2 linked regions of the Oreochromis niloticus genome follow. The protein of the gene in region 2 purifies or fractionates together with the protein of the main gene of each other region. This does not show direct contact. Links are inferred from orthologs where the notes say so. Each region holds a gene or a part of one and is shown on either strand. Other genes may lie near its edges.

What was found.
Region 1: the proteins of fndc3a (region 2) and tent5c purify together in Homo sapiens (affinity purification with western blotting; 3 studies listed by BioGRID, with this or other methods). This does not show direct contact. The link is inferred for Oreochromis niloticus from reciprocal best matches to the Homo sapiens genes FNDC3A and TENT5C.

Annotation. Positions count from the first base shown.
Region 1 is NC_031987.2:28,029,073-28,036,813, reverse strand, and holds the start of tent5c (terminal nucleotidyltransferase 5C), read left to right. Parts: upstream 1-4,666; 5' UTR 4,667-4,726; coding exon 4,727-4,788; intron 4,789-4,882; coding exon 4,883-4,969; intron 4,970-5,927; coding exon 5,928-7,101; 3' UTR 7,102-7,741. UniProt on the Homo sapiens protein: Catalyzes the transfer of one adenosine molecule from an ATP to an mRNA poly(A) tail bearing a 3'-OH terminal group and enhances mRNA stability and gene expression.
Region 2 is NC_031979.2:31,779,847-31,787,424, reverse strand, and holds the start of fndc3a (fibronectin type-III domain-containing protein 3A), read right to left. Parts: upstream 3,056-7,578; 5' UTR 2,552-3,055; intron 1-2,551. Other genes in the region: rcbtb2 (RCC1 and BTB domain-containing protein 2), read left to right, coding at 6,907-7,032. UniProt on the Homo sapiens protein: Mediates spermatid-Sertoli adhesion during spermatogenesis.

The DNA.
Region 1 (7,741 bases), on a different chromosome or scaffold from region 2:
AGATATGGAAATATTGTTTGTTTTTCTGGAAAATTATCAGGAAATTACACATTAATTAAAATTACCTATGTCGTATTTAACATTGCATAGAGTCTAATTTTTGTCTCCTTTCCAGCACAATACACAGAAATCAGGCACTATTTGCGATTACTTTCCCACTACTTAAAACTACTTACAATGTAATTATTTCTTCTTTCCTGTAACATACAACTTCTTGTGCCCTACTTAATATTACTTTTACAGTACTTGAAATTGCTTATGTAATAAATTGTATCTTCCAGTTAAATACCCAAAGTCGTTAAATATTTAGAATTACTCACTTTCACACTACTTAAAATTACATACAGGTTTTTTTTTCATGTAAAAACCCAAATTGTTACCTCCCTATTGTACTGTAACTACCTGTAAGTATGTGTAGGTAAATACATTGTAACTTTAAATAAAATAGAGTGAAATTCAATTTAACCCTTTCATGCATGAATTATGACAACCTCAATCAGGAATTTTTTCTTAATTATTCACTTCATTTTCTTTAAACATGCATTATTCAAAGAGTTATTTACAAGTCCACTTAGGTGGACAACATACATTTTGACTTATGAATTTGGTATGGAGTGACACATCAGTGTCCATTGTAGTGGTTTATGTGCAAGTATACCATCAACACTGACACAAATACAAGAAAACAGGCTTTGAATAGCTGTCCACAGAAGTGACCACTATGCGTGAAAGGTTTAATTACAGGAGAAATACACCCTTAGTTGCAAGCGGTATTATAAAGTGTTACCAACACAGTATTGAGTTATTTATTCTTTCATTTATTATTGTATTAAACATATTCTTATTACTCTTTTTTTCAAGTAGTGTGACTGTTTGTTTGTCTCTATACACCAGGTTCAACAGTGCTTCCAAATGTTTTGTATGCTTGTGCTTACATAACAATAAGGGTCGTCTTATCTTATCTTATCTTATCTTAACTTATATTATCACATCTTATCTTATCTTATCCTGTCTTATCCTATCTTATCTTATCTTATCTTATCTTATCTTATAAAGTTAAATTCAAACCCAAGTGATTCTGAGACATTATCTTGTGTTCTTGAAAATTCATAGGGTTGTTTTTTAAACATTTTCTTTTTTACAAACACTGATAACCAACATTATAGCTGCAGCCTGTCAGTTTTACTGCCCAATTGCCCCAAAACAAGTTCCTTTTTCATCTATGTGATCTTTGTGATCATCACATAAAATGGGAAAGTAACCCCCCCATCCTTATCAGCTTACAGTCTTCCCTTTGTTCGCTTAAATGAAACATCATTTAAAAAAAACTGTATTAAAGTGAAATCTGAAAATGACATCAAAGTTTCTGTCATCACAAGTTAGAATTAAGAAAAAAGTCTTAAATGAGAAGCTAAGGCAGGCAGGAGGAGGGAATCCCCTTGCTGATCGGCTAGTTTCCTATCAGTGTTCCTGATGCTGACTCACTGACGCTGGTGTACAGCCTGGCTCCCTTAGGGGCTCCACGCTACCCACAATCCACAACCACGCAGCTGACACAGCTTAAGCTTCACACTGCTGATCGGTGGTTTCATCTCACCTCCCGGTCTTATCATCGTGGACGACACAGAGGAAAGGAAATGGTTCTTACTCGTGAAACCGAATCTTAAGTCACCTATTCCCTGACTCATTCACTGATGTGTTTGTGTGTAAGGGTGAGCAATGTGGAAGGGGATTCATTTTTGACACGAGGAAAATAAATCTCACATCAGTTTAGAACTTTTTTTATATAATGATGTTGAATGGGGATGTAATTAGTTTTGTATACTGCACTTTTCACTTTGTTCAGTTTGCAATTTTCTCCCTTTTTTGTCATGGATTTTGCTGCGATTCCTTAATAAATTGCTTTATTTTTTGTCTTTAAGTCTGTTCATTTTTATGTGTTCTCATTCAGGATACAGTTGTCTTTTCAGTCCTCTCACAGCGTCAGGGGGATTCTGCAGTTTATTTCTAAAGAATCATTAACAATAATTCATCTTTGAGAGTGAGCGAAAAGCTTTCTTGTGAATACTTAGCATGAAATTCTTGTGAGGTTTCTTCCACAGAAATCTATGAGGTAGGTTCAGCAGCTGGCGAAAATATCTACCAGACACTACATAGTCCGAAGAACTGTGTCGTGCCAGTGTGTTTCAGTGGATAGTACTTTGTCTATATAAAACAGGCTTGTCTTCAGGGGGTTAGTGGTTTGATTGCTGTCTTTTAAATGGTGGCTGTGTGTGTCTCCCAGGCAGTGGGTTATGTGGAGGCGTGTGCGTGACAGCCAACTTCGTATCTCATATTTCGAACTTTGAATGCTTACAGAACAGCTTTTTGGAAGTGTATGTAACTGTGTGGGAGGGGATTCATTTTTGAAATCCCACATCAGTTTAGAAGTTTTATTTATAATGATGTTGAATGGGGATGTCATTAGTTTTGTATACTGTACTTTTCACTTTGTTCGGTTTGCAATTTTTTCACTTTTTTTTGTTATTGATTTTGCTGCAAATCCTTAATAAATTCAGACTCAATCAGAATCAGAACACTTTAATAGTCCCTAAGGAAATTATGTAATTGTTTCATTTTGTTCTTTAAGTCTGTTCATTATTATGTGTTCTCATTCAGAATACACTGGTCTTTTCAATCCTGTCACAGCATCAGGGGGATTCTGCAGGTTCTTTCTAAAGAATCATTAACAATAATTCATCTTTGAGAGAGAGAGAAAACCTTTCTTGGGGATACTTAGCATGCAGATGTGGTGATTATCAATGTAGGTGTGATCTAAAGAGGATTTTTAAGTTTGTGTTCGGGTGAAATTCTAGTGAGGTTTCTTCCATAGAAATCTATGAGGTAGGTTCAGCAGCTGGGGAAAGTATCGGCCAGCATTGCTTCCTGTATAACTTCCTGTATTGCTGTTAACAGTTAGTAGAAGGCCAAGTATTTTGGCCACTTATCTATTAAACAACACACTTTTCTTCAAGACATACAGAAGATTAACTGTACTCAGCCACTGCAACTGACCACTGGTTACTGTTTGACAGATTTAGACATATATTTGTTCTGGTGTAAGATGATCAGACTAAGCCCATGAAATTTGTGAATTGATTGGTCACTAGTAATTGCAGAAGAGGATTTGAACTAGACTGATGGAAAAATCATTGATCAGTATGCTTTTTTTGTTTTATTTTGTTTTTTTGTTTTTTAAATCTTTCTGAATATGTTGTTAGTCAGAGGCAGCTTTTAGTTCATGAGGATCACCAATCTAAATCCAAGGCAGGACCCTTCTGTGACCCTCCCTGTGCTTGTGCGGGTTTATAGGAGCTCCAGTTTACTCCACTATCATGAACCATGGCAAGCTAATGCTAACTGATTCAGCTCAGGACAGTCTTGCAGAAGAGATTCCTAATATTAAGAGTCTGGTTTCCTGGTGAAAGATTATTAAGAAAAAAAAATCAAATACCCTCTAATTCAGAACAAGATTAAGAGTTTTCGTTTAAGCATTTTTACAGAGATTTAAGGACTTTGAGACTGCTTTTGTTTGACCTCTGAGTTGTATTCTATTACTCAGATACAGGGGTATTTCCAGGATTATTAATTTATGAATTTATTGATTTAAGTGGAGAAGAAGAATAAGGCTGGGGGTGTCCACAGGAACTTGGAATATCTAATGAGGAATAAATAGATTGTGAAAAACACTAGGCACAATTTTCTGGTTTCAGTGGAGCCCTATGTCATCATAGAGGTGGTGTTACATGAAAAGTGACACTAAGAAGTCCTTAAAGATAGTTTTGTTTAAATGACTATTTAGTGAAATTGGTGAAATTAGTATTTAGGCCTTTTATTTAAGTAATAGAACAAGTGTTTTAAGCTCAAACGATACTTACAGCTGAAGGAGATTTTAATTAGTTACAAACTGATAGGTAGTTTTATAATATTAACAATAAAAAATAATAAGTCACTGGAGGTTTAAAGATTATGGACTACAAAGTGCAATAATTGCACATAAAATAGAGTGGAGTGGAAGTACAAAGGTGTAAAAATAAAGTATAAGTACATTTACCCTGTACTTCAGCGACTACATATCCATATTCTAGCTCATTCAATGGCTTTGAGAATAGCTGCATTCTTAGTACTTTTATCAAATGTCAGTGGTGATAATTACTTTTTTTTTTTTAAACAAACGGTTAAGTACTAGCAATGCAATATTATACGCAGGACAAATATTTTGGGTCAGATTTACTGTGAAAACACACATACACATAAATGGTAATAATTAACAGCAGCTATCTCTGATACATAGATGGTAGTTTTAGCTTCCCTGTTTTAAATAAATATGTATCCATATATATGAATCTTTTTTTCTGAAGTAACACAAATTATGAGTGGAATTTATTATGACAGTCGAAATATCAGCAAATATCAGCAAAGTGAAATGAAATGAAATTATGAAATCTTTGCCTACCAACAGTTAAATGCTACTCTTAAACTAGACGCTCCTGGTTACTTGGCAACGCATAAACCTCATTGGCCAATCAGATACTTAGCTAGGCGCATTGGTACAATCTGACGCGGCCATTCTAAGATTATGTGATCTGCAGACGATGAAAACTAAGTTTTTTGGTAAATATTTAAAGTTAGTATTTTATTTTAACTATCCTCGCTGTATTGCTCACATTGTACTTTCTAAGTGTAAATGGCAAACTACATAGTCCGAGGAACTGTGTCGTGCCACGGCGGTGCATGTGTTTCGGAAAGGTAGTACTTCGGCTATATAACAGGCGTGTCTTCAGTGGCTTTGGTGGTTCAAACGCTGTCTTTTAAACGGCGACTGTGTCTCTCTCTCGGGCAGTGGATTATGTGGAGGCGTGTGCGTGACAGCCAACTTTACATCTCACATTTCGGGCTTTGAATGCTTACAGAACAGCCTTTTGGAAGTGTATGTATCTTTTAACACCCTCTTCAGTTTCTTACGCAAATCTGTGTTTTATTTTCGTAGTTGGGGAAAATAGTGCGTTTGATAAGTATGAATTGCTAAATTTAAAGTTTGCCGTGCTGTAGCCACGGTTCAAAAACGTGTCGCCGGTTGCGCTATTTTAACGTGAGACGTAGATACCTAAAAGTGTGTTGCTTGAGGATATTCCAACTTTGCATAACCGCTGAATTTACAAAGGGTTTTATGACCATATGGCTCGACACTAAGTTAACCGTAATACTATCTTGCTAGTGTAGTGATAAAGCATTCTTATCGTCAGTTTCAGAGCAGAGTTTGGTACGCGTTTTAAATGCTGTTAGCACTGAGCCTTATTTGCTGTACATAGAGTAAAAGTTGGTTTTGACCTCCGCACGGCTAAATTGACAAGTCAGCTGGAATAAATAACTGTTGTTTAAAATTTTGCCCAACGTGTGTCGCGGCGACTTTTGTCGCTCCACGTAGTGGTGAATAACTAGTAGTAGTACCGGTTGTTTATTCGGGAGACCCCCGGCTTTACTGGACTTGAAGCTAGCTCGGTGTTTGTCTCTCAGCGGTTCTGGAATAAAAGGCAGGCTTGCGCAGTGAGCTGTTCTAGAAACCTCACGGGCTCTGTCCTTTTACTGTGTGTCGCGTGCAGGTTGTCTCATGCTCGCGCTCTCCTGTGCTCGTGCTGAACGCTCCTGTTGCTGCTCCTGTTTCACGGCAAGAAAATGGTTCTTAATTACATTTAACTGCGTCCCCCCCCCCCCTTTTTAGACACACATTACTACAGCTAGACCAAATTTGGTAAAATTAAGAAACAGTAATTTTGTTTCTTTTAAAGAATATTGGCTAATATTGTCACATGGTAGACTTTATTTGGTATGTGTCACACTTGAGGGCTGTCACTAACATTTTTGTTTTTTCTGTCCTGCCTCCTTAGTCAATCTAAACTTTTTGAGAAGATGGATAACAAGGAGGTATCAAACAGTTGTCCCTTCAGCGACTTGACTTGGGAGCAGGTGAGCCGGCTCAATGAAGTTCTGACTGAGGTCGTGCCCATTCATGGACGGGGGCACTTTCCTACTTTGGAGGTGCAGCTGAATGATATTGTGGCTCGGGTGCGCTCCCGCCTTGAGCTCAGCGGCATTAAGGTGAAGGACGTACGGCTTAATGGCTCCACAGCCAGCCATGTGCTGGTGCAAGATATTGGCTGGAGCTACAAGGACCTGGACGTTATCTTCAGGGTGGACTTGCCACACGAGGCTGAGTTCAAGCTCATCAAGGATGTTGTGCTTGGTACCCTGCTGGACTTCCTGCCTGAGGGTGTGAACAAAGAGAAAATTACACCAATGACCCTCAAAGAGGCCTACGTGCAGAAGCTTGTCAAGGTGAACACAGAGCAGGACCGCTGGAGCCTCATCTCCCTCTCCAACAATAATGGCCGTAATGTGGAGCTGAAGTTTGTGGACTCAATACGTCGGCAGTTTGAGTTCAGTGTCGACTCTTTTCAGATTGTGCTGGACTCCATGCTCTCCTTCTATGAGGTGGAGCAGGCGCCCATGTCAGAGGCCTTTCACCCCACTGTTAGTGGGGAAAGCATGTATGGAGACTTCAACACTGCGCTGAGCCACCTGCGAAACAAGCTCATTGCCACCAAGCGGCCTGAGGAGATCCGAGGCGGTGGCCTGCTGAAGTACTGCAACCTGTTGGTGAGGGACTTCCAGCCCGCCAGCGAGGAGGAATTCAAGGGCCTGGAGCGATATATGTGCTCACGCTTCTTCATTGACTTTCCTGACATAGGAGAGCAGCAGCGTAAGGTGGAATCCTACCTCCAGAGCCACTTTGTTGGCGAGGAGAAGAGCAAGTACGACTACCTCACGATTCTCCGGCGAGTGGTTAACGAGAGCACGGTGTGCCTCATGGGTCACGAGCGGCGGCAGACCCTCCACCTCATCTCGCTGATGGCCCTCCAAGTCCTGGCGGAGCAGAACGCGATCCCCGACGCGTCCTGCGTCACCTGCTATTACCAGCCAGCGCCTTACGTCCGAGACCACAACTTCAGCAACTACTATGTGGCCAACCAGAACATTCCAACATGGCTGCCGTGTAACTGACGAGACAAACAACTTGGGATGAGCAAGATGGCGTCGCTACTGCTGCTGCATTTGAGAAGAGAAGGAATGAATTTAAAAAAAAAAAAAAAAAAAAAAAAAACATTAAAAAAAAATGTTGGGCAATAAATAATTTGTTCCTCTCAAGGCACAATTATATTTAAGTGGACAAGCGTTTTGCTTTTGTTTTCTCATTCCTTTACGACAGAGGTGTCTAGGTCATTGAATCGAAAGTGATATTTTTAAGTGTTTCGAATTTTTTTTTTTTTTTTTTTTTTTTTCTCTCCTCATGTTTGGTTGTTTCACTGTTTATCAATCCCATTCTTAATGGAGTTGCATTTTGTGCCTTAACCTCCAAGTTTACCCCATCAGTAATTTAAGTATGGGCTGTGATTTGGAGAAGGGAAAGAGGAGCTAATGCCGTAGCCTTACATTTGGTTTTCATCTTGATTTAAAAAAAAGAAAAAGGTTAGGAAAAAAAAGTTGGAAAAAATGCATAAAATATTGAAAAATAGTATTATTGTATTATTGGGGAAAGAGTAATAATAGCTGACTGCCAAAAAAGGGGAAAAAAAAAAAAAAAGCTCATCACCGGTGTTAAAGTTTACTGTGGAGGGAGAAAAGGTGGTACACTAATATCCTG
Region 2 (7,578 bases):
CCATGAATACATACAATAGTAATGTAACGAAGCAAATTTAAACAAATCTGTGCTGGGTGACACGAACAGACAGGAGTCCTAATTCACGCAAGTTAAAATATTTCAAAATTAGATGAAAAATATGCATCATGCTGTGTCACTAAAGACCATCAACTGGACTTCTCTCAAGGACTGTGGATAAGCTTATTATTGGCATTTGAGGGCAAATGGAGTTCTATGGTTCAACTTCAGTTTTATAAAGAAGGAGGGGTTAAGAAAACTTTGTAGTAAGTTGTCAAAATATCTTACTGTAACTTGCTTCCAGCTATTGGTCATAGTCATCCTTGAACCATTGGCTATAACAGGCAAATATTTGCAAAAGCGGTATATAACACATAGTTTGTCAACACAAAGCAAAAAAATAAAAAACTGTACCAGGTACATTCTGAGGCCGTCACGTAAGCCAAGTTGAATCAATACCAGAAATGAATCAAAGTGATACTAAAAAGTGGTTACATGTGTCACATGCCATTTTTTCTCAGACGTTAAATACCTTAACTAGTTAAGAAAAGAATGAAAGAGGCGAATTCAAAACAAACCTAATGCGCCTATGATTGAATTTAAAATCATTTGCATCACAATGTGAGAAGAAAGGACAATGGTATAATGTTTTGGACGTGACTTATCATGTGACAGATATCAGCATTCAGATAAGACCAGGGTTGTAAAGGGTTTACACAGTGACTACGAGAGAGGAAAAAGAAACTGGATGATGGCATAGAGAAAAAACATTAATCTGTTCTTTCAAAGATTCCCTTCTCATCTGTCTCCTCCAGTATACTGCACTGGCAAACATCTTCTCACAAACCCCTTCCATAACAAATATACCTAAAAGCTGACCATTCAGTGATTGATTACTAAACTCTAACAATTAAAAATTGCATAATTAAGTTAGACCATGTCAGAATTTCTAGGGAAAACAACAAAACAATACAGAACAAACAAACTAAACAAAAATGTTTTTTATTCAACACTCCACTGACACGGGAGTAAAATACCAAAGTTATACACTGAGGACTTACCAACTGTAAATAAAATGTATACAATTGTTACATGGCTAATAAAATTCCCGTGAAAAGCAACAGAACACCATGAAAGAAATGTAACGTGTCCTTGAACTTAATTACTCTCTGGCGCATGCGTGCCTAAACCTCACTGTGATCTGGCTTATCTGTTCGCTTTAGTCCCTCCCCTCCTTAAGCCCAAACAAAGTCAGTTTACAGTGTGATGGTCAATGAACTAGGCCTGCAGAACCATTTATACAGCCATGAGGGATTGCCATGTGGTTAATTTTTGTAACACTAGCAGGCTTTAGATGAATGCCAGACTTGTGTGGCCTTGAGGCCTCCAAGCCATTTACTGCAATCAGCTGGTAGGTTGTCTGGTAATTTTATTCTAGTTGTAAATTACGTGCCAAAACCACAGTGACAACAGCTACCTGGAGGTCAGTAAAATGAGAAGCAACTAAGGGAAATCCCTAATGACAGGCAATTCTTTATATTTCCTCTGACCACCCACCACTTACGCAGTTAAAGTCAAAAATTCTTTCTTTTTTTCCCCTCATATGGGAAAAGATGATCTGAAAGTTCATTACACATTTTCCAAATTTGATGGTGGTAAGTGGAACATTAAGATTGTGATTATTAAACAGATGCAGTGACAGCAGTAACATATGAACAGATGTATATACTTCTGTCTTTTTGCTCCTCTTTCTGTAACAAAGTTATCTGAAACTTTCAGAACTATAGCCTATCAGTAGTCACCACCTACGACTAGAAAACAGCTGTAACTCCTGTTATAGTTGTGCTGAAATCTGTATCGAAATAACAACAGATAACAGATGTTACATCTGTTGTTGCCCTGATTGTGCCTCACATTTGTTTGTGGCTACAGAGCAGTTGACAAGGACACACCAGCTGTTTTTCAGTTGCAGTTTTGGAGAAAACGGGAAAACACCTTGAAGATTTGAACTAGCTTTTCAGTTTAATTATCAGCCACACAAAATTGTGGTAATGATAATTCTTGTCGTTGTTTAATAGCAGGTCACGCTCTAGTTTTTGCTCAGCTGTAATGCGTAAATTTAACTGTAGCACTTAGACATATTTTCGTACCAGACATCTGCACACGGGGTAACAGCTGGTCATCCTTTGACTGAAAGTATTTGACGTCGTTGACACTCGTTTAACATTACCTGGCCTGTCAACTACACGCACGAGCTCCTTCTATTATATGTCACAGTATCAGCAATAAATATGTTCAGAGATAGGGCTTTTCGTTGGTAATTTTTAGCTCCTTTAACAACTAACTACCTCGCACCCGAGACTGTTTACTTTGGCTACAGGTGTGTGTGCTTAGCGTTATATCATAGCTAACAGTTATCTAACTGCAGCCAACGTACTGGCAAACAATAACCTTACAGGTTAGTTCGACTTCCTTAAAATGATAGCGTCAATATGTTGTTCGCTGTAGCAAAACAAGACTTATTGCCAAAAGCGCAGCTAACGTTACTCACCCAGTCAGTTGGCACAGCAGCAGTCTTGCTCAACAAGCCGATGCACAGTGATGAGTCTTATGAAGCTCTTCCCCGAAATGTTTAACGTCAGCAAGCTTGGATGACCAGCAACTTTCTGTAGAACCTGAAGCTGATGATAACTTGCTAGCTACCCAGACAAACACAAGACAAGGCAAAGTGTGACATACTAGCGTAAGCTACCTAGCTAACAGTTAGCAAGATAGTATGCGGTCTTCTCATGAACGACGCAGGCTCGCGTTAACAGCACCTCAAAACGGTCGAAGTAGCTAGCGAGCGACTGTGACGATGCAAAGTATCGATAACGTCTGTCTAACCCTCAGTTTTATCGAGATAACTTTCCATCCAACCCTGTTCCTCGCATAAAAAGCAGGAATGTCGCCATCGCTTACACCACTTAGTGCGCATGCGTATTCGAGCAATTCATCACGAATCCTAATTTACAACATAGCAAAGATAAACGCTAAATAATGTTACTATATTTAATTTTGTTCTTGTTGTGAACCCGGTCAGTATCCGGTGCTGTTATGATGAACTTCATTTGCCTACCTATTTTTTTTCCATCACTTTAAGAAAGACCTTACGGTTGACGTGTCTGTGATCGGTTCGTCCAACCAAGTCAGTCGGGGGGGAATCTAAGAATGCTACGTGGTCAGTCCAGGGACCACCTTGCTGTTCTCCATATAAGACTACACTGCTACTTCTACCTGGTTTGTAACCAGAAGAACACAGTTGTACTAAAAATTACCAAGCATGATTGAACTGCAGTATTTTACACGCCAGAGAGACAATACTGAATGTATGGAGAGAGAAAAAACAACCCTTTCAAATTTACACACTGAACGGTGTTGTCAAACCTACACAAGACACACACAGACAAATTGAAATACAATATCGCTTTTAGCAGAAAGTAAGTGTGGATCACTGGTTCTTGTAAACCGTGCAGTGTTGGGTTTGTTATACGTTTTGATTGAACACAAAGATATTTTAATATTATTTCTGTACTCCTGAAAGCTTGTTTTGAATATACACTGGTATATATCAAAGAGATAGTCGTTTTTCTGATTGTTTTGTGTTCTTTCTGTTTTATTGATTTTTTGCCCCCTGGTTTGTTTTCTACTTGAAATTTACACCATTAGAAATTCATGTTGCCTGGAAACTGCAATATTCCCTTCATTCATGTGCCTTCCAAATTTGATCTAATTAAAAAGTATCTATTTATCTATCTATCTATCTGAAACTTTCTTTCATGTGCTAGTCCTTTCTGAATATTAAGTCTCAGACAGACACTTAAACAAACATCACAGACAATGTATCATACACAACCTAGTCCTAATGTAGCTACCTACATATGAAACATCACTATACTATATATCAAATGCGTATAATTGTTGCAGTAACAATGTACACACTCACCCTTCTTGCATAGGCGGTCTTTAAATCTTTGGTAAAACCATTTGCGATCCCATCACTGATACACACCAAGATGGTTATCAATGACTCCACCTGCTGGACTTAATAAAGGAATGCCCCATTGTTTCTGCTATAGTTCTCAATGAAATATGCAGTGGAGAGTCATCTTCCCCCAAATTGATGAAATAAAGGTTAAAAAAAGATACCTTTCCATAAATTTCTTTGACTCTTTAAGACAGACTGATTATACAGTAATCAGTGAAATATGCAGATAGTTGTGTAATTGCAGGGACTGAACGAAAGAATAAAACCAGATGGATTTAATTGGCAAAATAGCAAAGAATGTATAAAAATAATGCCTACATCGACATCTAGTGAAAGATATGTTACATGATAAACACTAGTGCAAATGCATTAACCCTCTATGGCATGAGTGAACAGCGAACACAACACATATTTTATTTTACACCGTGAATTTATTTTATTTTATTTTTTTAATGTAATAACACAAGACATGTAACTTGGGATGCAGTGAGTTTCAGAAATGCACATAGACTTGTTGTCCAAATCTATACTCAACAAGTTCACACTCAGCAAAGTTATATGCAAACACCTGCACACACTTGAAGATGAAGGGGCATACATTTTAAGACTTGAGAAGAAATGCACGATGAAAAACCTACCTCAAGGACTGCAGCAGAACACAAAATATAATACAAAGTAATGAGAAACATAATGAGGAAGTAAATGTAAGAGGACAATGAAGAGGGAGCAAATTTACAACAGCATCATCATGCAGTTGGATCACTTTTCTGGAGGCAGTAATTCTAAAGCAGTGGTTTTCAGCTCCCTGAGGACTTCTTTTTTTGGGTGCTCTCTTGCTGTAACATGTCTGATTCAAATGATCTGTTTTTTTCAGGCAGCTGCAGCATTTAATACTCATTTTATTAATTGAATCACATTTTTGGAGCGGGGATTGGGGGTCCTTAGGAGAACCTTTGTGTCTTAGAGTACAGAATGATGGGATATTAAAATAAACCACGCAATAACACAAGCTTATACTAACTTAAACAAAATGCACCTTTTATGGGTCAAAGACCGTGATTGGTCAGTTAGGGTCACATATGTTATGTGTGTGGGCAAGCGTATTTTTGTGTGTCAGGAGCATGGAAGTGACTATGGTGCATTCTGTTTACATTCTATTTTTTTTTTTTAACTTAAAGGAGATTACCTCTCTATTGATACTGAAACTATGCCTGTAGTTGCAATGGTACAGGATGACTCAGCCAGAAATGTATCACCCACATCTGTTTCACACCAGCAATTGTTTCCTAAAGTTCCACACAAAATTAATATTGGTATATCAACAACTCCTGAAAGGTAGGGTGAAATATTTTTTTCTTAAATAAATAAATAAATACAATGTATGCCACAGATGTTTAAACAACATGCAAAAATATTCTCCATTAAACTTATAACCCAAACGACTTAAAGTCTTGGGTCGTTATAGTCTATTGACCAGTAATGTAACTTCACAAATTAAAGACTATTTGATTTATTTAATCTTGCATAATAGATCGTATTTCTATTGTAAAAATAATAATGATAATATAACTATGATGCAATTTGAAACCTTTATTTTTTCTATGTTAAGCTGTAAACTGCTTAACAAAGCATTTAAATGTTAAACAGTCTGTCACTAATTACTGTATAATACCAATTTAACCTTGAAGCTCCCAGGTCCGATTTTCAGTAAACGCACCAAGTGACTACAGGAAGTGTGGTGTTGTGTGTATGTTTTTTAGGCGGTGGTGTAGCGATTAAAGCTAGCTACAACAAAGTGCAACCATAGCAGCTAACGTGAAGCTAGACCTACACCAGTTTGTCGGCATGACGTCCCCGGCAAAGTTATTTGAAAAATATGTTGGGTGACATGTTTTAGTATCTTTTTTTTTTTTTAATCAGAAAACGACCTCGCGGACTAAGCACTAGCTAGAAGGTAACGTCAACACTTGGAGGTACCAGCAACAACACCGCTCTTTACGCTAATTAGCTTGATAGTTTTTGTGGGTTAACTTCAGGTTGTAGTTTCATTGCTGGAAGTTTATATATCAAAACCAACACACTTAGTTTTGCGGTGCTTTGTGTTTTCTTTGGTGTCTGCTGATTTGACGTGTGGGACATCTTACCAGCAGTAACAGCAGCTGGTGGTCATGGTGGTGTATGTGTGTGTTTAGGGTGGTGTTGTCTGGGTTCATGGAAAGTGCAACTTGATATGCAAAACAATGCAACAACACTGTAAATTTGTCAGACGCGGCAATAAAAACAGGTTTGGTTGGTTGTTTGTTTTTGTGAATAAAAACGGAACCGAAATATATTGTTAGCAATACAAGATAATTACCTTTTATAGGCCTTACAAATAATGATGCACAGAGGATCAGACGAGTAGGTTTTACTGTTGATTGCAGTTTTCCATTTATCACACAGCCATAGACAGCTGTGTGGTTTGATAATAGAGAGTAATGGTGCAATCATTGAAGCCGTTATATTTGAAATATTATGTTAGACTTTAGAGATGACATAATTTTGACTTTACTTTCTGTGGTAGTAAAGGTCATTGAACAGATGTACACGTTTTAATCTGTCTGCCCATCTAAATCTGAATGCTGCTGGTCACTCGAGGCATGATAAAGATGGAAATGTAATAATCTGTTCTTTAACATATATGTATGCATTCCATGATACAGGGCAGAAAGTTCCTATTATCCAGTTTAATAACCAGACCATCAAAGTATTTAACATGAAAACATACTCCTGCTTTTATCTGTGTTTTTCAGTTTATCTAATCAACCTTTCTTTTATTCCATTGTGAGTTAGATTCATATTCTTCTCCATGTTTTTTCTTTTTTTCACAGCTGAGTAGTATGCTGGACGTGGGAAAGTGGCCAGTGTTTGCACTTCTTCCTCCTGAGGAACTCCGGCTTATCCGGCAGGCTTGTGTATTTGGCAGTGCCGCAAATGAAGCCCTCTATGTCACAGTTAATGATGAGGTAACATTTGGAGTTTAAGCAAGGTTGCCTCCTTGTTCTTCTTTACATGAAGCTGTCCTGCAGCACGCACAGATGTCATTCATTTTGCTGTATTGATTTTTGAGTAGTTCTTGTTTTGAAGTGGATATAAAAATGCTCCAGGCCTCTTGCTCTCTGCTTGATATGAGGTGCACAGGCACAGGGATAAGCAGATAGAATGAGGCTATCTTTAGCCACATGAGCTTAATGCCTGAGCCTTTGGAAAGGTGCAGTGCATGCCTAATCTTTCCACCCTTGCTTATTTGTTTGATGTTTTGAAACAGCCAACTGTACCGTTAAATTGTATTTTGGTGGATTTCACTTTAAATTATGCCGTACATCACATTGAGCTGCACCAGCATGAGCGTGCTTGCTGCTGATTTTTTTTTTTTTTCAGTCATAATTTTAGAAAGACAGTCTCACAAATTATTATAGCCTGGTTTCAAGTGTAGTTAGTTTGTTTTGGTGTAGCGATGAATTTGCAATTTGCCAGCTTAGACAGATTGGATTAAGACAACTTCACCATTT